3 linked regions of the Notamacropus eugenii genome follow. The protein of the gene in region 1 interacts with the protein of each later gene in a biochemical or structural test. Links are inferred from orthologs where the notes say so. Each region holds a gene or a part of one and is shown in the gene's direction. Other genes may lie near its edges. The genes, in order: RAD51, FBH1 and RAD54B.

Region 1 (3,600 bases):
CAATCTTTTGCTTTTCCCTTGGGAATACCTGTCAGGAGATGATAAATGATTCTAAAAGATCTGAGCACTTTTCATTTATGATTTCTTGAAATATAGTATCCATGGAATTTTTTTTAATCATGGTTTTTAAGAGTCTTAAATTATCCTGCCTTGACCTATTTTAAATATCAGATATCTTACATTTTCTTTTACAAAATCTTTTGATTTTGTGAAGATTTCTTGATGTCTAATGGAGTCATTGATATCTTTTTGATCTAGTTTTCATAGATTCTATTTCTTGACTTTTTAAACTAAGATTTACTCTCTTCTAAGCTACTTATTCTCCCAGTTCTTTTCTCAAAAGCTTTTATTTCATATTTCTTGTTTAATTTCCTTTAGGTATTCATGTAATTTTTGTGGAAAATCCATTTTTTCTTTTGAGCCTCTTGTAATTGGGACAGTGGATACAGTGCTGGGCCTGGAGTCAGAAAGATTCATCCTCAGAATTCAAATCTGTCTGCAGACACTTACTAGTTATGAAACCCTGGATAAGTCACTTAACCCTGTTTGTCTTGGTTTCCACATTTGTAAAATGATCTGGAGAAGGAAATGGTAAACCACTCCAGTATCTTTACCAAGAAAATCCCAAATGGGGTCACAGAGTCAGACACCACTGAACAATAACTTTTGTAATTGTTGCATTTTAGTATATCTCCAGATTTGTAATTTTTTAATATTGATTGGTGTTTTCATTGATTTATTCATCTTTGGTTCCTGAACTGAGGCTTTGTGCCAAGGCCAGGCTCCACCTCCTGTTCAAGTTTTGGTCCGGATGATTGACCCTGCTTGACCTTGCCCTGAGTCCCCTGGGTTCCTACACTTACCTCCACCTCCAGGGATTACAATCCCTTGGATCTTTGAAGTTCAGACTGCTGTATCTTCAGGGCCCTTTCTGGCACCTCAGAGCCTCTGAGCCTGGGGTGTTCCATTATGAAAGCTACGGTGCCACCCTGGTAGCTGCCCACTGCTGCTTCCCAGGGTATCACTGTTGGTTTCCTGACCAACCTGGGTCTTTTTTGTAGAGTTCTCCCTTACTGCCTCTGAACACAGAGCCTTGCAAGCTGTACATATCTCTGTCCAGTCTTTAGTGTTAAGTCATCAAGCTTTACTAAGTGCCTACTATGCACTTTTGCCAGGAGTGAGGGATAAAAACAAGCAAAAAGAAGAGTCTTCGCCCTCTAGAGACTTTCATTATAATGAAGGAAGACAGCACATAAAAGGGAACTGAAAAGCACGGGATGGGAAAGTGGGAGAGATACCTTCTTAGAGGCACGGTGGCAAAGTCTAAAGAAACAGAACCAGAAGGGGAATGAAGGCATGGTTGGCCTGGGGAGGAGTTCTGAGAGGGAACGGGATCTTCCAGGTTAAGAAGGCCACAAGGGTGGAAGGAACCCAAGGTGAGAAGGTCCCTGAAATATAATAGTAAAGTCTGGAGGGTCAGAAATTGAAGCGAGAGAGAAATGAGAGGCTGTCCTGGGCTGCCACTGGCTTTGCTGGCAGACTCCATTTCTATCGTCCTCCTACTTCTGGCTGATCTCTTATGTAGTTCCGGGGTAGAAGTAGTTACTTGAATTTTTCATTTGATTTATTGACCTGGATTCCACACAGTGCAAACTTCACGGTTTTGCTGGGATATGTGAGAGCTGAGCAGCCTGTCTGGCATCCAAGAAGCCATCTTTATGCTTTTCTGTGCTTTGCTTTCAAGACTTTTCAAATGCTCTAGGACTGATCTCCATTTTCTCAGCACTGGCAGGATATTTATAACAGATGGAAAGTGACTTGCCCGACGTGAAAGAAGACCTTAAGGGGTCTTGACTTTTTAACTACCCCACCACACTGCTTCCCTGCAGGACAGCCTTTTGGGTGAAAGGATGAGCCTTCTATGTGGTGCTTAGCCTTTCAGGTCTTGGAAGGGTTTAAAAGCAGTTAGACCCAATCTCAGTGGAACATTCTAACTGTTACTGTCAGTTCCAACTGTCCCTGACTATAAACTAAGAATAGATCTCTTCTTTTTACAATTTCTCTGACGCCTTTTGTTTCTTCTCTTACGTCTATTTCAAGTTTTTGTACATTTCACTTGCTTCAGAAAAAGTTCCACCAGAAGGTGAGGAACTTGTTCAAGGATCACGTGCTGGTAAAGAGCTTCCAAAGTAAGGGAACATGTAAGTTTCTTATAGTGTTTCTAACCTGCCACTCCACTGAATCTACTCTCTCCAAAGTTACTAATGATTCCTTAATTGTTGAATCTGGTCATTTCTCAGTTCTAATCCTTCTCAATCTCTATGCTGCATTCATCATTACTGACCACCCTCTCCTGCTAGATACGCTGTCCTTCCATGGCACCACCTTGTTCTCCTACCTGTCTGATTGCTGTCATTTGTCTCCTTTGCTGGTTCATCACCCATATTATGTATGCCTCGAGAGCAGGGATTGATTTTGTTTGTCTGGTTGGTTTTTGCTTTTCTTTGGATCTGCAGCGCTTAGAGGAATGTTGCGCACATAGTAGGTCTTTAATAAATGTGTGTTGACTGACTGACCACATGTTCCCCAACTAGGTTCTTCCTCTAGACTCTTCCTCTTGGAAACCTCATCAATTCCCATGGATTTAATTACCATCACTGTTCAGATAACTCAGATAACTCCAATACCAGCCTCTTTCCTGAGCTACTTTATCAATTGCGTAACGGACATTTTGAATTGGATGTCTCATTGACACCCTGAAGTTTGACTTATCTGAGGATAAGTTCAATTCAACCAGTGGTAACTGAGTGACTGTGGCACAGTCAAGGGAACCCTGGGCATGAATTCAGTTTCAGACACCATGTGACCCTGGGCAAGACTCTTACTCTCTGTTTGCCTCAGTCTCCTCGACTGTAAAATGGGGATAATAACAACACCTTTCTTGCAGGGTTGTTGTGAAGATCATTGTAAAACACTCTTAGTACAGTGTCTGGAGCATAGCAGGTGATATATAATTGCTTATTCCCTCCCTCCTTTCTGCTTTGGGGCTAAACAATGGCAGGTATACAAAGATGAAAAAAAAGCCCTTGCCCTTAGGGTTATAATCTAGTTAGGAAAACAAGACCAATGTTCAGATGACTACAATACAAACTGGAAATATAAGTGCATAATAGAAGTGTGAAGCAAACGGTCCAAGGATGGAGAGATTACTGAGGGGTGGTGAGATATTGCAACAGGTGGAGAATGGGGAGAAGGAGATGCATTCCAGATGCTGAGGGCCATTGATCAAAGGCACAGGGATTGTCATTGGAGAGCAGTCCAGTTTCACTGAAATAAGTAGACTTCCAGTCAAGGTGGCAGAGCAGCCCAGTTCCCTCATATGTACTCCAGAAAAGATAAAACAAAAGCACCAAGCCAAATTATGATTAAGAAACAGAAAAATCAAGTAAGTTCCTTCATCCAGCCTTGGGTGGCAAAAAAAGAATACCCAGAAGACCATAGGCACTGAGGCCAGAGGAGCTAAGCAAGGCAAGCACAGCTTTCAGAGACTTTCCCGCTTAGACAGGAGTGCTCCAGCCAGGAAGCTTCAGGATAGTCAAG
Region 2 (10,997 bases), on another chromosome or scaffold:
TCTCCTCCATCCATAAAAAAACCCTTCACTTGATCCTGGAAGGCAAGGATTTCTCAACAGAAGTTCACAGACATGGCACAGTGGGTGCTAGAGTGAACCAGTCTCACAAAACTTGGTAAGATCCCACAAGTTATCATCTTTTATCTCTCCTTCCTTTTACAACCAAACTCTTAGGAAAAGTTAACTATACTCGTTGTCTCCACTTCCTTTCCTTCTATTTCTCATCCTTTTGCCATCTGTATTTTTACTCATTCACCTGAAAATGTTCTCTTGAAAGTTACCAAGGATTTCCAAGTTGCCAGACTTGTGATCTTTTCTCAGTCCTCATCCTTCTTGACCTCTCTGCTGCATAGGACCAAAAAAACCAAACCAAAACAAAAAAAAAACCCTTTAATTTTGTAGTGTGCTAGAAATTCCTTTCCCTTGTAGAATTTAAAACAGTTTTTGTATCTTACTATGTTATACAAAAAAGTGAATAAGTTGATCACCCACTCCTCCTGGGCATTCAATCCTTTCTTGGTTTTTGTGATAGTACTCTCTCCGGGTTCATTTTTTTAATCTGCCTGACCACTCTTTCGTAATTTTTTTTTGCTTGCTCATCATCTACATTATTTTTCCTATCTGTGGTTATTCCCAATACTTGGTCCTGGGTCCACTTTTCTTTTTTCTATATATTTTCTTTGACTTCATCAGCTTCCATGGGTTTGCTAATTTATCATCCTTATGAAGATGATTTTCAGATCTCTATTTTTTTCCTGAACTCCAGTCTTAAAACTCCAACTGCCTATTGGACACATCATACTGGATGTCCTGTAAGCATCTCAAACTCAACAAGATCAAAAAAGAACTCATATCTCTCTAGAATTCTTACCTCCCCTGAACCTATTTCTATCAAGAGCATCACCATTGTTCCAGTATTCCACCTTTGTAACCTGAGTATAATCCTTGACTCCTCACTTTCACCCCACATTCAATCTATTATTAAATTTTGACATTTGTCTTTCCATCATATCTCCCTATCCAATTCCTTCTTTATATTAATAGTCACCATATTAGTTTTAGGACCTTATTACCTTTCACCTGAGCTAATATAATGGCTACCTAATTAGTATCACTGCTTCAAGTCTATCACCACTATTATGTAACTTCCAAAATTATATTCCTTAAGTGTAGATCTGACTATGTCACTCTCCTATTCAATAAACTCCAGGGACTACCTATTACTTCTAGAATCAAATGTAAACTCTTCTGTTTGGGATTTAAAGCTATTTACAACTTGACCCATACTGATCTCTCCAGCCTTGTTATGTACTCCTTCCATTCCTGCACTCCATGGTCCAAGCAAATTGGCCTTCTCTCTCACAAATGGTGCCTTTCTCACCTTCGCCTCATAGAATCCCTCATGTCCTTCCAAGGAGGCTCCAACATCACTCTCCATACTGTCACAGTCCTCCCTATGTACTGTGGCCGTATCTCCATTGTGTCCATTCTGTATTTAGATATTTACATGTTGTCTCTCTCAACAGACTGTAAGCTCATTAACAGAAGGTATCATTTCTTGTGTGTGTGTGTGTGTGTGTGTGTGTGTGTGTGTGTGTATCTCCAGAGAGTGCCTGGTACATAGCAATTTTTTAAAAATGTGTGTTGCACTGTTTGATTGTCCTGAAATGTTATGCATTACAGTGATCTGTAATTTCATTGATATGAGGTAGCCACTTTGTGGTGGGCTTCACCTGACTCAGGCTAATCCCTTGATAGTTTAGGTCCAATACTGGAACAAAATGAGACATTTGTAAGTCATTCAACAGTTACAAAAGACAGTTTATTTGGTCATGGCAGGAAAAAGTGCATCCAACAAGGATATGCACAGAAGATACTTTGGTTGATTTGTCCCGCAACAGACCTAGCATCAGAGTGGGGCTGAAGGTCTTTGTAGATTTTTGTATTTAAGTGACCAGGGAGTTAGGTATGTAACCTTGGCCTTTAGCCCTTAAGCCATTTAAGTCTTCATGACAGTTTCAATACCTTTTTAAGGAAAAGAACTAGCCCAGCCCACATGGTGAGGGTCTCTGGTAGCTTTTCCTGTTAGCATACTCTTCTATACAGGTCAGCATTTTGTTTGTCAGTTAATATTCCTAAGACAGTTGCCTTGAACACCTAAAGATTTAAGGACTTACTCAGTCATACAGTTAAGTATGTATGGTTCCAAGGCCAGTTCTTTATTTTCTATGCCACTCTATTTCATTCATAAAATCTAGAGATTTAGAGATGGAAAGAATAAATTATGCCTACCAAAATTAGTGTAATATTTCAACACTTCTGTTATAGGAGTGCTTCCATTTTATAGGATCTGGGCTGGTATTTAGTTTATCATTCCAACTGTCTATTGTTTATATCTCTGATTCATAACATGAAAAATAATCCTGGAAGGCAAGGATTTCTCAACAGAGGTTTGCAGACCCAGCACAGTGGGTGGGGGAATGAACCAGTCTCACAAAACTTGGTAGGGAAAAATGGCAAAGTCAGAAAATGTAAATTGTAATTGTAATGGTAAAATGTAAATTAGAAAAATAAATCCAGTTAATAAGGTGATTATCCAACCAAAAAAGCCGAGAATTTACATGCACGTAGTGCTCTAAGGTTTGCAATGTGCTTTCCTCACAATAACTTGAAGACTTAGACAGCACGAGTATTATTATCTACATTTTACATATAAGGCAACTGAGGGGTCTGAAGGCTAGATGACTTACCCTGGATCATCTGATAAGATGGCATTTGAACAGAGATCTCATCTGTAAAACAGAACAACACTTGTAGTACCTATCAAAGTATCTGGGGTACCTTGTTGTTAAGAGGTGAAGGAGATGAAGGACTACAGGCATGTCAATTACTCTCACTACTACGTTATGTTCTTTGAACGCCAGATGTTGGACTCTTTAAGGATAAGGGAAACGTTTTACATTTTTCTTTCACTTCTCCGTTAACTCTGCCTGCACAAGACGCACAGCAGGCACTCCAGAAGCAGTCGTTTACTTGCCCTGTCTACTGCATTTTTGGAAAAGGTTGTTGGGGGCGGGATGCTCGACTGAACGATGAGCCAGCAGTTCAGGGAGACAGAAGCCATAGCCTGTCTTCAGGCAGGGCTTCGCCTACGGACACCTCCAGACCCTTCTCACCTACCAGTCCCCCTTCTTCAGGCAGTCCACAGTCGCCCCTCTTTTCAGCAGGTACAGCACACAGTCCCGGTGTCCCAGGGAGGCCGCCTCATGCAGCGGTCGCTTGTAGTCCCGGTTAGGGGCCTCGATGTCCAGCTCCCACGCTTCCACCAGGTAGGCTAGGATGTCCCGATGCCCGTGCCGGGCCGCAGAATGTAGGAGGGTGTCACCTCCCCTGCCCGGGCACGCGTTCTTCACGTGCCAGCTGCGGCCGTGCTCCGCTCTCCCAAGTTCCTCCTGCAAGGGCCTGAGCTGCCCCTCCTGGATCAGCCTGAAGAGCCGTTCCTGCAGCTGGGCTTCCTCCACGCGCCGGCGGAGGGCCATGAGAGAGCCGCCGCTTGGACTCCGTGGGAGGCTCCCCAGGGGCGCGCGGCGCTAGCGGAGGGGGAGGGGAGGGAGTCCGGGCGGCCTCCCCAGCCTGAGGCGCCGCCTCGCGGCCTGCGAGCCTCCTCCGCAAGTCCTCTGGCGGAGCCCAGGGAGTACGAAAGGAGGGAGCGCGGGGCTCGAGGCCCTTCCTTCCTTCTGCGCCCGTTATCGCAGGACTTTGGCCGGAACCATCGCTCCCTGAAGGCGGTTTCTGGGAGCCGGGGCTGGGACTTAACGGGGTTTCATTCTAGGAGCGCTCAGACTCCTCCTACTCCTCCCAGCCGCCTCTGTTTCCCGGGATGTGTCAAAGTTTAAAATGGCATTAAAGGGACGCCTCGCAGGGAATGTGTGCGAGTACATCAGCGTGGACAGGTGTATGTCATCGGGAGTGAGCAAGGATGGGACAGAATTCGTAGCATCCTAGATCGAGAGAGGAAGAGACCTCCAAGGTCTTTTAGGCCAACCTCCTGATTTTATAGATGATGCAAATGATGCTGGGGGAGGAACTAACAGACTTGACTGGAGTCAGAGTTCTGTACTTTAGGAGTGTATGTGTAGAATGGGCAGCGTATTTTCTTTCCTTCTCAGTGGGTGGGGAAGAGAGGAGACAGGGTGGAGGGAGTGAGAGAATGTGGAACTGGAAATTAAAAAAAAAATTCTATGCCTTTACGCCGTGTATTTTTGGATTTTTCTATGGTCTCGGGAGAAGGAGCTACTACTGATATTCATTAAGTGCCAGATAACAATGTATCAAAGGATTCAAGGTTTAAACTTAGATCTTCTTCATTGCCAGTCTGGCATTCTCAATCCTAAGCAATAATTTACTAAATTCCTTTTGAATGGAATTTGATATCCATTCTTCTGGTACCAACTTTGAACCCTAATTTCCTCATCTGTGAAATGCAAGGATTGGATGATCTCTAAGCATCCCTCCCACACTAAAAGTAAGATCTACTCCCTTAGCTCTCAGTGGAGTCAGATATACCTGGCTTCAAATCCTGCCTCATACACGTACTAGCTGAGCGACACCTCCCTCCCCCCATCACTTTAGTCAGTGAGCCCCTAGAGCCAGGATTTTTTTTATTTTTATCTTTACTTTTTTGCCTTCCCCCCCAGAATTTGGCACCACTGGCATATAGCAGGCTCTTAATAAATGCTTGTTGACTGACCATTGGCAAGTGACAGCTTTTCTGTACTTGTTTTCTCATCTGTAAGACAAGAGGGTTGCTTGCCTCTGAGGTCCCTTCCAGGTCTAGACCTAAGATACTACGATCCACCTGGTCTAAGACTGTAAAGCAGTTCTCCTCCTTCCGCCAAAGTAGAGAACCCGAGAAAATTCTCTTTTGTCTCTAAGATCAGAATGAATAAGAAATAAGAGGAAGAGCCGAGGCTTGTCATTGGGTGGCAGTCTGCATCGGCATTTCTATTGGTCGAGAGGGCAGTCAATTAATTCCATGGTGGAGTGTTTTTTGTTTGTTGGTTGTGCGCGTATGGGTTTGATGTGGTGGTCGTCGTAATTGCATCGGCTGGAGATGAGGGGGTGGGATTTAAGGGAGGAAGTCACAGGAAATCCGAGTCCTACTTTGTGATGTAGCGTTTTGGGAAGTTTGGGACCAAGCCGGAAGGAGCGGAAGGATCGAAGGGGCGGAAGGGGGAAAAGGCCGGAAGGGGGAAAAAAGGCCGGAAGAGGAAAAGGCCGGAAGGGAAAAAAAGGCCGGAAGGGGGGGAGGGGCGGGGCTGTTGGCAGAGGAGGAGGAGGCGGCATCTGCGCGGCGGGAGCAGCCACACTGAAATGCCCAAGTCCGTGAGAGTGGGTGCTTTGCGGGTGCGGGCGGGGACTGGGACTGGGGAAAGAGGTGGAGGGGATGGCCAAGCCCGCGCCTGTTTGGCAGATTTAGAAGCTGAACTACGACCGCCGGTTTCTGATCCCACGGATGCGTTTGTTTATTTCCACGGGCTGTGTGACCTTAGAAGAGTCATGTTCCTTCCCTGGCCTGTTTCCTCCTCCGTAAAATGAGGGGCTTGGATTAGATCTCAAAGGAAAGAAAGCCCCTTTCAGCTCTTAACATTCTGTGATTCTACGGAAGACTAGAGAAGAGGTGGAGGGGTGGAAAGCTTTTACGGAGCTTTTAGAATGTCCTGGACTTCGCGGAATACGTACTCGAGCCAAAAGAAAAATCTTTGCCCTCAAGGAGCTTTCGTTCTATTGGGGAAAGACTAAGCGGGTGGGGAGGAGGTGGGAGGAGGACTCTTGTGGGGCACGGCTGGGAGGGAAAACGCCAGTTGGTAGGCCGAGACCCCGGGGATGGCCAGCTGGGCGGGGCTGTAGGAGCAGGTGGGGAGGCCGCCGGGACTGAGGGCAGCGCGGGATGAGACTGGCTGACGTGTGCCTGGCAATGCAAAAACACAGCCGGGAGGAGCTGCATGGACCAGGAGACCGAACCCCACCATCTTCTGGTGTCTGAGTAGCCGTGCTTTCCTTTTCGTTGTGGTGGTGTCTTCCGGCTGCGCTGCTGCTCTCCCTACTCTGAGGGGTTTCTCACAGCTGCCATTTCTCCATCTCCGTTTCTTATTGAGAGAGAGAGAGAGAGAGAGAGAGAGAGAGAGAGAGAGAGAGAGAGAGAGAGAGAGAGAGAGAGAGAGAGGAAGGAGATGAGGAGAGAGAAGATGATGGAGATGGAGGAGGAGGGAAGGGAGGGAGGGAGAGAGAGAAGGCACTTGAGAGTAAGTTGCTGTGGTCCAGGAGGCACCCTCCACAAATAGTAATTTCTCAGAATTAGATAGAGATTGGGTGAAATAAGATTGGGAGAGGCCCGAGTTCGGTTTTGCAGTTTCCACATTGTGAGCCAGGGCTGGATATTTTTTTCCCTTTTTATCATCTTAGTAAAAACAAAACATAACTACTTTGCTTCCTTCCCTTTTCAAAAACCTTCATTAATTGCTTACAGAATAGAATACAAATGCTTCAGCATGACATTGGAAGCTGATTAAATGGTGAAAACTTATCTTTCCAGGACTTAGTTTGGTTTGGTGTTCAAGATAGTCCCTTTCCTGGACTTACTCACTTTTCTTATCCCCTCCCCATTGTACCTTCGGTACCATTCTGAATCCCTACTTCCAGGAAGGACTTTAACTCCAACTCTGCCTGTTAACATCCATTCTTACCTAGTTAAGCTTCTGTCTCTTCTATCACATCTTACCTTCTCTTCTGTCCTGCCCTCCATGTCATATCTGGCAATCACAGGCTTGTATTGAGCATGTAACTGTGTACTAGGCACTGTAATAAGTACTGGGGGTACAAAAGAAAAGTAAAAACAGCCTCTGACCTCAAGGAGTTTATATTCTAATTCTCTTATGTTCCAAGTATGTGTATATATACATATATATGCATATATGTATATACTAATTTTAGTATATGTAGATATATGTACCATTCTCTTATATTTTACTTCTCCCATATTCTAATGGGAGAGACAGCATGTACGCTCACACGTAAACACATACACCGGTAGGTGAGTTTTTCCTCAAACTCCCATTTTGGGAGAAGGTCCAGATCAACCATCCCACCTTCTCTGTATTTAGCCACCATGCCCCCATTGGGTACCTCCCCTTCCCTCTTTTTAGGATTCACCTTTATGTATGTTTTTTCCTCATTAAAATGTAAGCTTGTCAAGGGTACCCTCAGCATTTATTAGAGTGCCTGGCGCATAATAGGTGCTTAATAAATGCTTTTTGCCTGTGTAGAAGGAAAGTAATATTTGAAGGGAAAAGAACTAGCAGCCAAGATGGGAGAAGAGGAAAGGCCTTGTGCAGAAGGCAAGGCCTTGTGCAGAAGGTAACAATTGAGCTGAATCTTGAAGGAAGGTATACTAAGAGTTCGAAGTGAAGGAGAGCATTCTAGACATGGGAAACAATACAAAGGCACAAAGGAAGAATTGTGTGCTTTTTTGGAACAAAAAAGCCAGTCTAGCTAGTATAAGTAGAAAATTAGGGACTTTTCCAGGAGGTATTGTGGAGATAGAAGATTTGACAACTGATTGAGCTACATGGGTTGAGGAAGTGAGGGAAACCTAGGTGGTGTAATGGTGATAGAGCCCTCCACAGGAATTGGAAGTTTTTAAGAAGGATGAGTTTAGGAGGGAGGGGTAAGATACTGAGTTCTCTTTTACATATGCTGAGTTCATTATTCCTATGAAACATCTAGTTCAAAATGTCCAGTAGGTAGTTGATGTGTATTTGTCCTTTGTTGCCGAAGAAGACCATGCCGTCAGAGAAATAATGACATGACTTGCACATGACTTTGTTTTGAGTGAGGGAGGGCTGATAATGCTCAGGAGAAGAGAAACTGTGGCTGGATGAAGTAGATTCAGGAATCATTGCTAGGTGGTAAAGAGAATATGAATCCTGGATTTGGAGCAGGGAAGATCTGAATTCAAATTGCACCTCAGATAATTTATAAGCTTTGTGACCCTGATCAAGTCACTTCATTTGAGCCTTAGTTTTCTCATCTGTAAAATGAAGATAATTGCCCCAGCCTTACAGGGTGTTTGTGAGGGTCACACGAAATAACATGTAGAACTCTTAAAGTACTATGTAAACGCTAACTATCATCTGTGTAGAGGGGATAATTGAGGGAGAGCTGGTGTAGGAGCAATGAAAGGACTGCTCTAGGAGAGCTAGGCTGCACCGACAACTAGCTGTGTCACCGTGGTATTTACTTCTGTCTTAGACTATGTGTAGAAAAGGAGAAAATTATAGCCTGCCCTGTTTACTTCACAAATTTATGAGGAGCAAACAGGATAGTACGTATGTAAGTAAATAGGTTATTACTATTGCTGCCATTTTAAAGAGTCACTGTAAAGTTGGTAATCATAAGGATTTTTTGAATGAGACTTTTGAGATCATCTAATCTAATTTTTTGGGCATCTTCCTAACTTCAAATTTGGCTTCAGATACTAGCTTTGTGACCCTAGGCAAGTCACTGAGCTTTGTTGGCTGAAATTCCTGATTCATGAAATCAGCTGGAGAACCTTTGCAGTATCTTTGCCAAGAAAACCCCAAATAGGTTCACGGAAAGTCAGAAATAACTGAACAACAGCAATCTAATTTTGGAATTTTGTAGACAAAGAAACTCAGAGGGGAGATGACTTGACTAAGATCGCAGTGACAGAGTTGGGACTCCATCCTCCCAGTCTAGTTCTTCCATTGCCACAGAATTTTCATAAAGTTTTTCAATAGTCTCCATCCTCACGTGTTGTTTCTTCATAATACTTAGAAGTCCCACCTTCTGACATCTGATCTGGACCTGGTCCTTGAGCAGTATTTCCTTGTACTCTAGATTCAAACCCCCATCCCTTTCTTCTCCCATCAAAATTTTATTGACTTGTGTATATATCCTCCTTAATGAACTGTTTTCTGCTTTCTAGGACAACTAGCTAATCTGTTAAATTAATTTATCCAAATATGTTAATTGTGTCAATTTAATAAATATTTTTTGAGCATCAGCTATGAGTACTCTTCTCAGCACTAGGAGAGATGCAAAGATGATAAAACTTTAAAATGCCATATAAATGTGAAGTAGTGTTATTATTGCTAGCAGTAACATTGGGATAGGGAATTAAGGACTAGACTTGTGATTTCATTGATACTAGGAATTCCCAGATGAGAAAACATCTACCAATACAGTCTCTGCAACTTAGAGTCTTAGAGAATTGCCCAGAATACCAAAAGGATAAATGACATACTTAAAGCTATATGACCAGCGTGTGGCAATGATGAGACTTGACTTCTTGGCATTGAAACTAACTGATCCACCATGTCAGGTTCGCCACTACTAATAAAACAGAACATGGTGAAACTCTGAACAAAGGGGCATGAAAATCTGCATACTAGATCTGTATCTGACACTTACTGGCCAGGTGACATTGTTATGTCACTTAATTGCTTTGGGACACATTTTTCTTATATATAAATAAAAGGATTTAAAATTGATCTTTTAAAGTCCATTCCAATTTTAACATTTTAAAACTTTATTATTCTATACAGATCGTGCCTTCAAGTAGTTTGAAATCTGGTTTAAAAAATGACATGTATACAAATAACTAATGGAAGGTAGAATTTGAAAGTTAAGTAAAAAGTACAAAATGCTTTGGAAATTATGTGAGGGAGAAATTGATTTTTGCTTATGGGTTCAGGGAAGGGATGATTCATGTTAGTCAAGTTTGAGTTGGGTCTTGAAGGTTAGGCTGGGAATTTGAAAGCCTAAGTTGAGTTGTTTTTTTTTTTCAGGGGAGTAAGTGGGGAGGAAGGCATACCATTCTAGGAAATAGGATAATCAAAGGCAGGAAAGCATGGGGTATGGCCAAGAACAGTAAATTGTATACTGGGTTCATGAAGGAATTTTGAACATTCTCTTAAAAGTATATTTTGTTCTTTTAAAAAAATTTTCCTCAGTTACATGTTAGAACAATTTTTAACATAAATTTTTTAAAATTTTGAGTCCCAAATTCTCTTTCCCCTTCCTCCCATCTTGAGAAAACAAGCAATTTAATAAAGATTGTACATGTGCAGTAGCAGCTAGGTGGCCCAGTGATAGAGTGTCATCTCTAGAGTGCCAGTCAGGAGGACATGAGTTCAAACCTGGCTTCAGACAATATGTGTCTTTATGACCCTGGGTAAGTCACTTGACCTTGTTTGCCTTAGTTTTCACATCTGTAAAATGAACTGGACTTGGAAATGGTAAACCACTGCAATATCTTTGCCAGGAGGACCCTAAACAAGGTCACAAAGAGTTGGACACCACTGAAATGACTGAAGTATACATGTGGCAGTCATACAAAGCATTTCCATGTTACCTATGTTGCAAAAGAAAAAAGACCAAAAAGCCCAAGAAAAATAAAATTTAAAAAAGCATGCTTTGATGTGCATTCAGACTCCATCAATTCTTTCTCTGGAGGTACATAGCGTTTTTCATCATGAATCCTTTAAAATTGTCTTTGATTATTGAATTGCTGAGAAGAACTAAGTCATATACAGTTGCTCATCCTACAGTACAGCAGTTACTATGTAGTGTTCTGGTTCTAATCACTTCACTTTGCATCAGTTCATAAGACTGCATAAATCTTACTTCCCACTAATCATTTGTTATACCATAACATTCTATCAAAATCATATAACACAACTTGTTTAGCCATTCCCCTATTGATGGACATCCCATCAATTTCCAATTCTTTGTTACCACAAGAAGAGCTATTATAAATATGTAAATATAGGTCCTTTTCATTTTTCTTTGATCTGTGGGATACTGACCTAGTAGTGGCATATAGCTGGGGAAAAGGGTATGCAGTTTTATAGCACTTTGGGCATGGTTCCAAATTGCTCTCCATATCCCCTCCGACATTTGTCATTTTACTTTTT
Region 3 (10,997 bases), on another chromosome or scaffold:
TTTTCACTGATATGGAAACTCTGGATTTTGGTTGGGCATTCCTAGTGCTTGTTTCTTTTTGGGGTTTCTTTTAGGAGACAGTTGGTGGATTTTTTCTATTTTAATTTTGCCTTCTGTTTCTAATAGATCTGGATAATTTTCATTTATGATTTCTTGCACTATACTGTTTAAACTTTTTAAAAAATCATGGTTTTCAAGAAGTCTGATTTTTACATTACCTGTCTCTTTGATTTGTTTTCCAAGTCATTTGCTTTTGATATCAGATGACTTATGTTTTACTGTATTTTTTCATTCTTTTGAGTTTTGTCCCAATATTTGTTATTGTCTGAAGAAGTCATTGGTTTCTGCTCAGGGCCAGCCCTGAGCTGTGGCCTGGAGCTTACCTCTCCAACTGCTTTACCTGGTCTTCCAACGGTTCCGGCCCCCTCCTGTGGGGGAGGGGAATGACCAAACAGTTCACCAGAGGAGCTGCTTACTGCACTTTATTGCTTACCCCAGTTCTCCCTACCTTCCCGTGTTCCCCCTTATATAGCCTGCCGTAGCTCCTCCCATGTTCCACCCTGGAGGCAGAGCTCAGCTCCGGAAGGGGTGTTCCCAGCACCCGAAGGCGGGTTCTCACCCCCGGGGTCTCCGGGCTCACCAGGGGGCCACAGTCCAGAGCTCGGCCCTCTACAGGTTTCTCCTTGGTCTGTTCTCATTTCAGGGATTATCTTACTTGGATAAGGATTGCCACTTTGTCTTCTAAGTTTATTATTCCCATTTCATTTCTTTCAGAGCTTTTATTGCATTTTTTTTCATCTCTTCATCTCTTCTTGATAGTTATACTACATGTAATATATGTGGAGTTTTTTTTCTTTGAGTCCTTGCTTTTAGTTGTGAAGTAATTGTTCTCTGCTTCTAGGTTGATTTTTGTCTCCTTTGCATCTATAATAATTCTTTTTAGTGGTGTGTCTTCTGCTTGCTCATCTTTTAAAAAAATTATTTTATTTTTAATTTATGGAGTAAAAGAAGCATTTCTACAACATAGTACAATAAAAAAGATGATTGCACATGAAACTGCAAACTGTTATGTACAATTTGCCATTCCTTTTAAATATACAACAACATTATTATGTAAATGTCTTTTTTTTTCCTTTTTTTCTTCCCTCCCCACTCCCTCTCCCTAGAGATGGCTACTATTAGACACAAATAGGTGTTTATATGTATATGTAAAACTATTCTATACTTGTGTTTATCAGTTCTTTCTCTGCATGCAGATAGCATCTTTCTTCATGTCTTTTATAGTGAATTTGGTTATTTATAGTAGACAAAATAACTTATTTACTCAAAGTTGTTCTTAAGACAGTATTACTCTTACTGTATACGTTGTTCTCTTGATTCTGCTCTTTTCACACTTCATTATTTCATGCAAGTCTTTCCATGTTATTCTAAAAAATCTTTGCACTAATCATTTTTTGCAGCACAGTAATATTCCATCATAATCATCTACCACAACTTATTCAGTCATTCCCCAATCATGGATATCGCTTTCTTTGCCACCACAGAAAGAGCCTCTATAAACATTTTAGAGCAGAGGTTTTTTTCCTTTCTGCCTAATCATCTTTGGAAATAGACCAAGTAGTGGTATTGCTGGGTCAAATGATATATATATAGATAGATAGATAGATAGATAGATAGATAGATATAGATAGATCAAATGATATATATATATATATACATATAGATAGATAAATAGATAGAGAGAGAGAGAGAGAGACAGACAGACAGACAGACAGACAGACAGATAGTTTGGGCAAAGTTCCAGATTGCTTAACAAAGTGGTTGGATCGTTTCACTATTTCACCAACAGTGAAGTGTCCCAATTTTTCCACATCCTCTCCAATATTTGTTTGCTCATCTTTCAAGCTTTAGTTCCTGAAATGTGGCTTTGTGCCAGAACCAGACTCTGCCCCTTACTGAACTTTTGGGTAGTGTGGTCTGTCCTGCTTAGTTTTACCTAGGTTCTTTCGCTGACTGATTTTCTTTGGTTAGGTACCTTAAGGTCTTTGAGGTTCAGAGTTCTGGATCATGAGAATATTAGGGACTTGTCCTGGAGAGTCTTAAATACTACAGCCCTGGACTAGAGATTCTGGGGTCCTTCCTATTAGCTTCTGACCTCCCAGGGCTTTCTTTGGGGAGTACTTTGTTCTACATACTTTGATACACAGATTCTCAACTCTGATGTTTTCCAAAATAGTTCAATGTTGTATGTTGATGACATATTTTTTCCTCCCATACCCAGGAAGATTCTTTTAATTGATTTGGTTGAGCTCTAGCTGACAGAGAACAGAAGAAGGGATAAACTTTAGCTCTGTTGGATAAGGTCAAGTATATGAACCATAAAATCTCCCATGAGAAATGCTGAGAGAGGACCTTAGGAAATATGACAGGTTCCCTACCCTAATATCATATTTCAGATACACTTAATCCTGCTCATGGCAGGCTACTAGTGACAGTGGCAATACTCTAGTATTACTTCTCTTTTGGGCATATATAGAATCTCACTAAATTCACTTCCCTGGAAGTGGTCCCCAACTGTGAATAGATATATTTACCTACTTAAACTAGGCCTTTCTTTATTCTCTACCTTGAGTCTTCTAAACCTTTTATTCTTTCCTTATGAGAAAAATGGCCATTCATAGGGAGTCATGGTCCAAATATGTAATGATAACCTTCTCCCTCTGACCTACTATTATTCTTGCTTGGCTCTTGAGAATACTCTCAGAATTAGCTTTTTCCTTCTTCCCCAACCATTTATAGCACTCAACCTGAGAGCTGCTTGGTAATGCCACAGATTTGCTTTCCCATTTTGTCTTTGTGACACATTTATCATTGTGCATGAGCTAAGAAGGGATCATGGTGAACGTTAAAAAAAAACCAAACATTGTTTTCCCCCAAAATTTGGAAGCACAAGCCTTTTGCTTTGTATGCCTAATATGCTAATCTCATAATTTGGGTAGACCTATAAATACCATATTCTCATTCTTAGCTATCATCTGGGCACCTTCCTAAACTTAACAGTGGATTTTTTTTAAACTCTCCAAGATTCAGTTATGCAAATTGAAGTGTATTGCTACTTGAAAGGCTGGCTGGCTCTACTACTGAATCTAAGAAACTTTTTACAAAACTTTAAAATTATTATAAACTTGATAGATGTCAGCAAGCATGATTATTTACACATACACAGAAGAATAAGAGTATGTGAAATCTTGAATCTCTGTTATATATTGCCTGGTTTTTTTAAGTATATAATAAATTTAATACTATAGTTCTAAAATTGTCCTGTTTACCTATGTCTCTGAATTTCCTTTTGCTGTCTTCTGGATTCAGAAAAACCCAGGTTCAAATCCTGTCTCATATACTAACTAGTAGTATGACCATGGGCAAATCACTTAATCTCTTTGATTCTCAGTTTCCTCACTGGAAAATGAGAGGTAGTCTCACTGATAGTCTCAAAGGTCCTTTTGAGCTCCATGTCTATGATCTTTTGAGCCTATGAACTACTGGGTTTGTACTCACCACCCCTTCATATTGATACCCACATTATTCTAGAACTCCCTGCTGCGTATTATTTTGGAATTTTTCACTCTATGTTCCATTTTCATCTTGGATCCCAATTCACCTTGAAGTCCAGGACATAATGGTTTTGGGGGTAGGAGGATATAGGTGAAAAAGTATTTGGAAGGGAAGAATGTTAGGAGAAGGGGGTGCTATGGGTGAAGAGAAAAGTGATTTACTAGGTAGAGGGATCTGAGTAGGAGTGAATCTGGGATACAGGATGAGCGAATGAAAAAGCATTTATTAAGCACTTAGTATGTGCTTAACCCTGAGAATCTAAGTGCAAAAAACAAGATAGTTCCTGGCCCTCAAGAAATTTAGATTCAAATTAGAGAAGACCACACATATTTGGAAACAGTGTTCCAGGAGGTGGATTGTGGTCTAGAAAATCAAGGAGATGGTACGTAGAGAATGATAGTGTTGATTTTTTTTTGCTACTACTCCCAGAATAAAGGCAATAAGAGAGGGATGAGAGGGGAGTGAGAAGCAGAAACATGGCAGGAATATAGCCAGAAAATATCTAGGGAAAGTAATTGTAAAAGATAAGAAGGCTGGATGCTGAAGAGGAACTGATGTTGGAGCCAAAATGGGCCTAGGGAGTTTGAGACTAGTATCAACTGAGGGAAGTGGGAGGATGAGCCTGAGGAAATTGATGGAATCAAATTTGACATGCGATAAGGTTTGAGGAGATTATGAATATGAGAAATGAAGAGATAGTTATATTTTCACAGAAATAAAAGAAGAACCTAACACCGAAAGAAAGAGTGAGACAACATAGCAGGACATAAGCAAGAAACTAGCTGGTGTAGATCAGAAGTGCAGTTTGGCAACAAAGATCCATTATTAGGTCAGAAGGCAAAGGCATTTACCCGTGGTTAATAAGCTCATACATATTAACCTTATCCTCTCCCAAGGTGGGAGCAGTGTATTTTAATATACATGTGATTCATGATGAGAGAGGGACAAGGGAAACACGAATGATGTGTGTACACCTCATAGCTATTGGAGGACTTTGGAAAGGATCTCATAGTTGGAAATAGGGATAAAAGCTGACTGTGCCCAGCACTTGGTGTGCATATGTATAGGAAACCAGCTCTTGCAAGAATGTAATAAAACACTTTCTTGCCTTCATTAGTTAAGGTCCTATTCCTTTGCAAGCATGTTTCTCACAATTTGGGGAGCTCATCTGGGATCCAGGAATCAAGGAGGGGAGGAGCCAGTATGGAGAATGGGAGGTATTATCTCATTGATTTCAGTGGCCCAGAGTATGGGCAAATGGTCCGCTCTCGAGACTGCCCAAGATCCTGAGACTGTTTGGGAAACTGAAGCCAGAACACTGAGATAAATCATTGGCACATGCCTGGCAACCAGGTAACTGTGCACAAATCAAGGTAAGAAAATTGGACTATTAAATATTACCTTGATGGTTGGGATCATTCTATAAGTCTGAGACTGAGTGTGTGTGACCAAGACTATTGGTACAAAGTGAGTGTGAAGCCTAGATCTGTTGTTCTGTCCTACAAGGGAAACACCAAAAGGGGTGAAACGGGGGAGTTCAATGGTCAGTCTGAAGTCTCAGAGGGAGGGTAGAATGGGGAATAAAGGAAGTAAGGCACCAAAAGGGGAGGATTCCCCTCATAGAAAGGAAGTGAATTCTTCTGTGAGCATTAGCATTCCTCCAGATAATCCTTTGGAGAGAAAGCTAAAATATTGGAAGAATATGTCAGAGGCCAAAGATAGAGATAAAAACAAAATGATCAGGTATTGTTAGTTTGAGTGGCCAAAGCAGAGTATTATATCACTGGCCATATGTTGGCCCAAATATGGGGCTGTTGAAGAATGGCTGTGTCAGGCTCTGAATGTTTTTGTTAATGATAAATAAATGATAAATAATCCTTCTCCAAAGAAGAGTCAGGTTACTTTGGAGAGGGAGTTTGACAACCAATTGTTCCCGCTCCAATTAGAGAACCAGGGTAGTGCTAAAACATACATGAGGGAAAGGGACCCTTGGAATTCCTTGAAGTCCCTTTCTCCCGCTTAATTGCTCCTGTCAGACTCCTCCTTTGGGAGAATTGCCAGGATAGATTTAAGTGACCTATGTAAAAGTCCAGGGTGTAAGGAACAAGAAGAGCCAGGAAAAAAGTCCGGTGTGTTCCCACCAAAGCTGGATGTTTTTTGATATGCTAGATTGAGGAAAGAACTAGAGCAATGCAAAAAGGATGTACAGAATCTCCCATTCCCTGAAATCCGAAGGGAGAGAGGAAGTGAGGGAACCAATGTACCTATTAAAAGAAGTGCCAATGGGGTGAGGTGAGATTGGACTTGTAAATGCACCTCTCACAGGTACTGAGGTCCAAAATTTTAAAAAGGGAATGAAATCTCTAATTGAGTACCCAATAGGGTTAGTTGAACAATTAGACCAGTTCTTAGGACTTAATTTTTACACTTGGCTGGAAATGATGTGTATAATGAACATATTATTTTAAGGGGAAGAAAGAAGTATTATTAGAAGAGCAGCCATTCAAGAATGGGAGAAGCAACACCCTCTAGGACTGGGAGTATGGCTGTAGAGCAGAAATTTCCCAATATAGACCCAAATTGGGATAACAGTAGAGTGGCTGATAAAGTAATGATGAGAGATCTGAGGGACATGATAATTAAGGGCATAAAGGAAGCTGCCCCTACATCATAAAACTTCTTTAAAGCCTTTGAGATAAAGCAAACCAAAGAAGAAAAACCCTCAGCCTTTTTGAAGAGGCTGAGAGATCAGATGAGGAAATACTTGGGAATGGACCCTGACCCCTCAATGGCAAAAGGATTATTGAAAGTGCATTTTGTGGCTAAGGCATGACCTGATATAAGAAAGACAGTACAAAAGATAAAGGGCTAGAGTGAGAAGCCATTGGAGGAACTATTGTTGGAAGCACAGAAAGTGTTTGTGAAAAGAGAGAAAGAAAAGCAAAAACAGAAAGCTAGAATTATGGTAACTACTGTGAATGAGATAATGAAGAAAAAGCATGAACAAGGAGGATATAATTGTAAAGGTGGAAACTGGGGGGCTGAGAAACAAAGGAGTTATGGAGGAGGAAGGGGCCATAGAGGGACTTTTCACCCTGTCCAGCAGACTGGATCTTTCCATTGTGGGAAACAGTGACATTTTAAGAAAGAATGTCCCATTCTGGAGAAGGAAGAAAGGATTATTCCCCTGATGAATTTTGAGGAAGATCAGGGGAGTCAGGGGTTTTCTTATATTAGGTTCCACTTGGAACCCCTGACAAACATCAAGGTGGGACCCAGAGAAGAGGATGTGGTGTTCTTGTTAGATATGGGGGCCGCTTGGTCCTCATTGAATTTCAAACCAACAGATATCAAATTCTCAGATCAGAATCTAACTGTTTCTGGGGTTAAGAGAGGGGTATTTTCAGTACCCATATTTGAACCAGTCAGTTTAATGTTAGGACAGAGGCAGGTCACAGAGAGTCTTCTCTATATCCTTGAGGTGGGAACCAACCTGTTAGGGAGATATATAATTATACAATTAGTCTTGAAAACAGATAAGAATGAGCAAATAATAATTGGGATGTCAATACTAAAAGAAGATGAGAGGACTATTGACCCAATAGTGTGGGCTAAGGAAGGAAACAGATGGAGATTGCAGATTGAGCCTGTGAAGATCACACTAAAGAATGAAGAAGCATTACGAGTGAGACAATATTCCATCCCAATGGAAGGAAAGAGATGACTCCAGCCAGTTTTGGAAAATTTGGTAAAAGATGGACTCGGAGAACCTTGCATGTCCTGCTTTTAACAACCCTGTTCTTGTCAGAAAGATGGTTGGAATGTACAAAATGGCTCAGTATCTGAGAGCCCTAAACAAAATTGTGATGATCAGACATCCTGTAGTTCTGAACCCTTATACCCTGTTAAGTAGAATTCCCTGTGAACACAAGTGGTTCAGTGTAGTAGATCTGAAGGAGGCCCTCTGGGCCTGCCCACTAACTAAAGAAAGTAGGTACTTGTTTTCATTTGAATGGGAAAATCCCTCCACAGGTAGGAAACTACAGTATAGATGGACTATACTTCCTGAGGGATTCATAGGATCCCCAAATTTATTCGGTCAGGTATTGGAACAGGTGTTAGATAACATCCTGCACCTCTAAGGGACAACATTAATACAATATGTGGATGATTTGCTAATATCAGGAAAAAAGAGGAAAGGAGTGGCAGAGGCCATTTGAGTTGCTGAACTTTTTAGCAGAATAAGGATCGAGGGTATCTAAAACTAAACTGCATTTTGCAAAAAGACAGGTGAAATATCTGGGGCACCTAATCAGTGAGGGACAAAGAAAAATCAATCCAGAAGGAATAGAAAGAATATCTCTACCTAGAACTGAGGGAATTAAGAAAGTTTCTGAGTTTGATTGGTGTTGTAGGCTATGGATTGATTCTTATGCACAGATAACTAAAAGCTTATATTTAAAGCTACTCACTGAGGAACCAGACACAATAAAATGGACTACTGAAGAGAACAGGTTATTTGAGGAATTGAAACAAGATTTGATTAAAGCTTCAGTGTTGGCCCTGCCCTCTCTAGAAAAGCCTTTCCATTTATTTGTTACTGTAGATCAGAGTGTTGCTCTAGGAGTTTTGACTCAGAATTGGGGAGGCCAATGAAGACCAGTAGCGTTTTTATCCAAAATGTTGGATCCAGTATCCTGAGGATGGCTGGAGTATGTACAGGTGTAGAAAGTCAAGTTTTAAAGGTGTAAGTAATAAGTATATATAATTCTATAGGTTAAGTTTTCACACAGTCCAAATCAGATGGCCCTTCAGCCTGACGATAGATGAAAAATTGCTAAGACAAGATAAAGGTCCTGATCAATCAACAATGAATGAAAGGGGGCCCAGAAACCATAAACTCAGGGGCCCTAGCCAAACTGGCTCAAACCAGCCAGGGTTAAACTCCGGTCAGTAACTACTAGCTACTGTACATGCTCAATGAACCTTATGCATATTATCTTACCCGCCTCGCATATGATTAGGACCTCATTAAGTGACTGTGCATTGCATGATTAGGAAGGGGGGACATACTAAGGAGTTACATGAAATGGACGTATAAAGAAGACTGTGACCCAGAAGGACCAGGACTAATCCTCATCTAGAAGGGAGGAGTTGCAGCTACTAACCCTGTAAAGCTTGCTTTTACTTCTGTATTCAGTACATTCTCCCTTCCTGAGGAGGTGTACTTGCTTTTCTGGAGAACCGAAGGAATAGCCCTTAGCCTCTCAAATAAACTGCATGAAACTCCAACTTTAGAATTGAGTCTGGGGTCTTTATGACAGATGGGCCTTGATAGTAAACACTCTGCATCATATAAGAACTATTCTCAATCAGCAGGCTGGAAAGATGGCTCACAGATTCTAGGATCTTGAAATATGAGGCTATATTGATGGAAAAGGACGATTTAATTCTGACCACTGAATCTTGCTTAAACTCAGCCTCCTTCTTGTCAAAAGGAAAAACAGATGGTGGCGAAAACTTGGAACATAATTGCCTAAATTTTATAGAAATATTATAGAATATCAGTCTGACTACTAAAACCGTGGTTGGGATAGCTGAAAAAGGGTGGACACATTATACTTGAGTCAAAGGATTCAAGGGAGAGCCACCAACCACACCTACTGCTCCACTACCCAACCAGTGGAGGGTAGAGCCACAAATGTCACCATTGAAATTAACCTTGAAAAAGAATTGATTGATGAATTTGGATGAGTAATCTTTGAGATTGGGGCATTATTTGTGATTTGGGTGATAATTGTTGATTTTTGGGTCTGTAGGGACCCCAAGAAGTGTACTCCTTTCGTATGACAGAAGTGGTATTAGTGATAGTACTGCTAATATTGCTGGAATTATTATTTATAAGTTGTATTTTTCCTGAGAAGATAAGAGGAAGGCTGAGAAAGGAGGGGAGATAGACACCCATAATTTTAGATTTGATCACAGCAATGGGGCTAGGATGGGTTAACAAGAACTGTGAGTCAATAGCAGAGATGTGGACACCAGTAGAATGGTGGAAAGGGGATAGGGGTTATCCAATTAATCTCCAAATTGAGGTCCTAAAGAAGGAAACTCCTCAAACTGTCTGATTTGATGCCTGCCAAATAATTGAATTTGGATATGTGGAAAATCAAAGGAGGCTGACCTATTGTGCTAAGTATGTATGCCCAGAAACCCACTTAAGCTTTAATAGGGGAACATGCCATACATGGAATCAGGTCTGGATCACTACCCAATTCAATGGGTGGACCTTCCCCACTGCAGATAGGGCAGTACAAGATAAGGTTAGCTTTCTCAGTGGTCCAGACCCAGGATCCCTTTGTGGGATTGCAGTAAGGGGAATAGCAGGGCAATTGGATGCAACTAGTCGAATTGCCTGGGAAAATAGGATGGCCTTTGTATAATATTAGCTGAAAAAGGATGAGTGTGTAAAATGATAGGAGGGAATTGTTGTACCTTTATTCCTAATTGTGGGAATATGAAATGTAACCCCCTAATCTTGATCATCACCAGTGCAGATGTTCTAAAGTAAACCTCTCCTATGGATTGGGGTTGGATGTCACTGGGAAGGACCCAGTGGGGAGATTTAGGATAATAGTTAAGGACATAAGGAAAGAGGCAAAGCCAACCCCCCCACTTTTCCCCCAGCCCAAATGTGACCAGCTCAGAGGGTGAGGTAAGTCCCAGTCTCTACTGGAATGACCCTGCAGTAGTAAAGATCATTGAGGTGAAAGATCTGAAGCAAACTACAGAGATAGAAACAGGACTTGGGGATACTAATGCTTGGATGGAATGAGTAAAGTATACTGTTAAGAGCCTAAACAAGGGCAACTGTTATGTTCGTGCCATGGGCAGACCCACTGCACAGTTAATGAGTGCCCTTTCCTTTGGAAGTGGAAGAACATGAGGCTGAGTTTAATGTATGATATGGCTATTTTAAAATAGCACACCGAGAGAAAATTATAGAACGTTGTCCTACTTTTTTCCTCTTGTGAAGCGGGGCAGTACTAAAGCCATCCCTACTTCCCTCCCCAGACTTGGAAACCACTCTGCTTGTCTCATGAAAGGGGGAGAATCTCCAGAATCTGGGAAACATGACATCATGCATCAGGGTTTGGAATGTTACAAAGGATAGTACAGGCAATTTCCCTCATATAAATATTCCCCCATGTGGACCTTTGGTGGTAAAACTTTCAGATCAACCCTTCCTGAGAATTGGGCAGGAACTTGTGCACTTGTCCAATTGGCCATCCCATTCATCCTAGCATTCATATCTCAGGCTCAGAATGGGCACCCTGAAGCTACAACCAGGAAGAAAAGAGACCCATCTGATACTCCACATA

What was found.
Region 2: the proteins of RAD51 (region 1) and FBH1 form a complex in vitro, tested with the Homo sapiens proteins (2 studies listed by BioGRID, with this or other methods). The link is inferred for Notamacropus eugenii from reciprocal best matches to the Homo sapiens genes RAD51 and FBH1.
Region 3: the proteins of RAD51 (region 1) and RAD54B form a complex in vitro, tested with the Homo sapiens proteins (2 studies listed by BioGRID). The link is inferred for Notamacropus eugenii from reciprocal best matches to the Homo sapiens genes RAD51 and RAD54B.

Annotation. Positions count from the first base shown.
Region 1 is NC_092878.1:26,856,302-26,859,901, forward strand, and holds the start of RAD51 (DNA repair protein RAD51 homolog 1), read left to right. Parts: upstream 1-1,413; 5' UTR 1,414-1,436; intron 1,437-1,984; exon of another isoform or gene 1,985-2,201; intron 2,202-3,600.
Region 2 is NC_092874.1:209,712,384-209,723,380, forward strand, and holds the start of FBH1 (F-box DNA helicase 1), read left to right. Parts: upstream 1-5,308; 5' UTR 5,309-5,380; coding exon 5,381-5,381; exon of another isoform or gene 5,382-5,390; coding exon of another isoform or gene 5,391-5,391; intron 5,392-10,997. Other genes in the region: ANKRD16 (ankyrin repeat domain-containing protein 16), read right to left, coding at 3,181-3,539. UniProt on the Homo sapiens protein: 3'-5' DNA helicase and substrate-recognition component of the SCF(FBH1) E3 ubiquitin ligase complex that plays a key role in response to stalled/damaged replication forks.
Region 3 is NC_092875.1:158,614,666-158,625,662, forward strand, and holds the start of RAD54B (DNA repair and recombination protein RAD54B), read left to right. Parts: upstream 1-4,857; 5' UTR 4,858-4,953; coding exon 4,954-4,988; intron 4,989-10,997. UniProt on the Homo sapiens protein: Involved in DNA repair and mitotic recombination. May play an active role in recombination processes in concert with other members of the RAD52 epistasis group.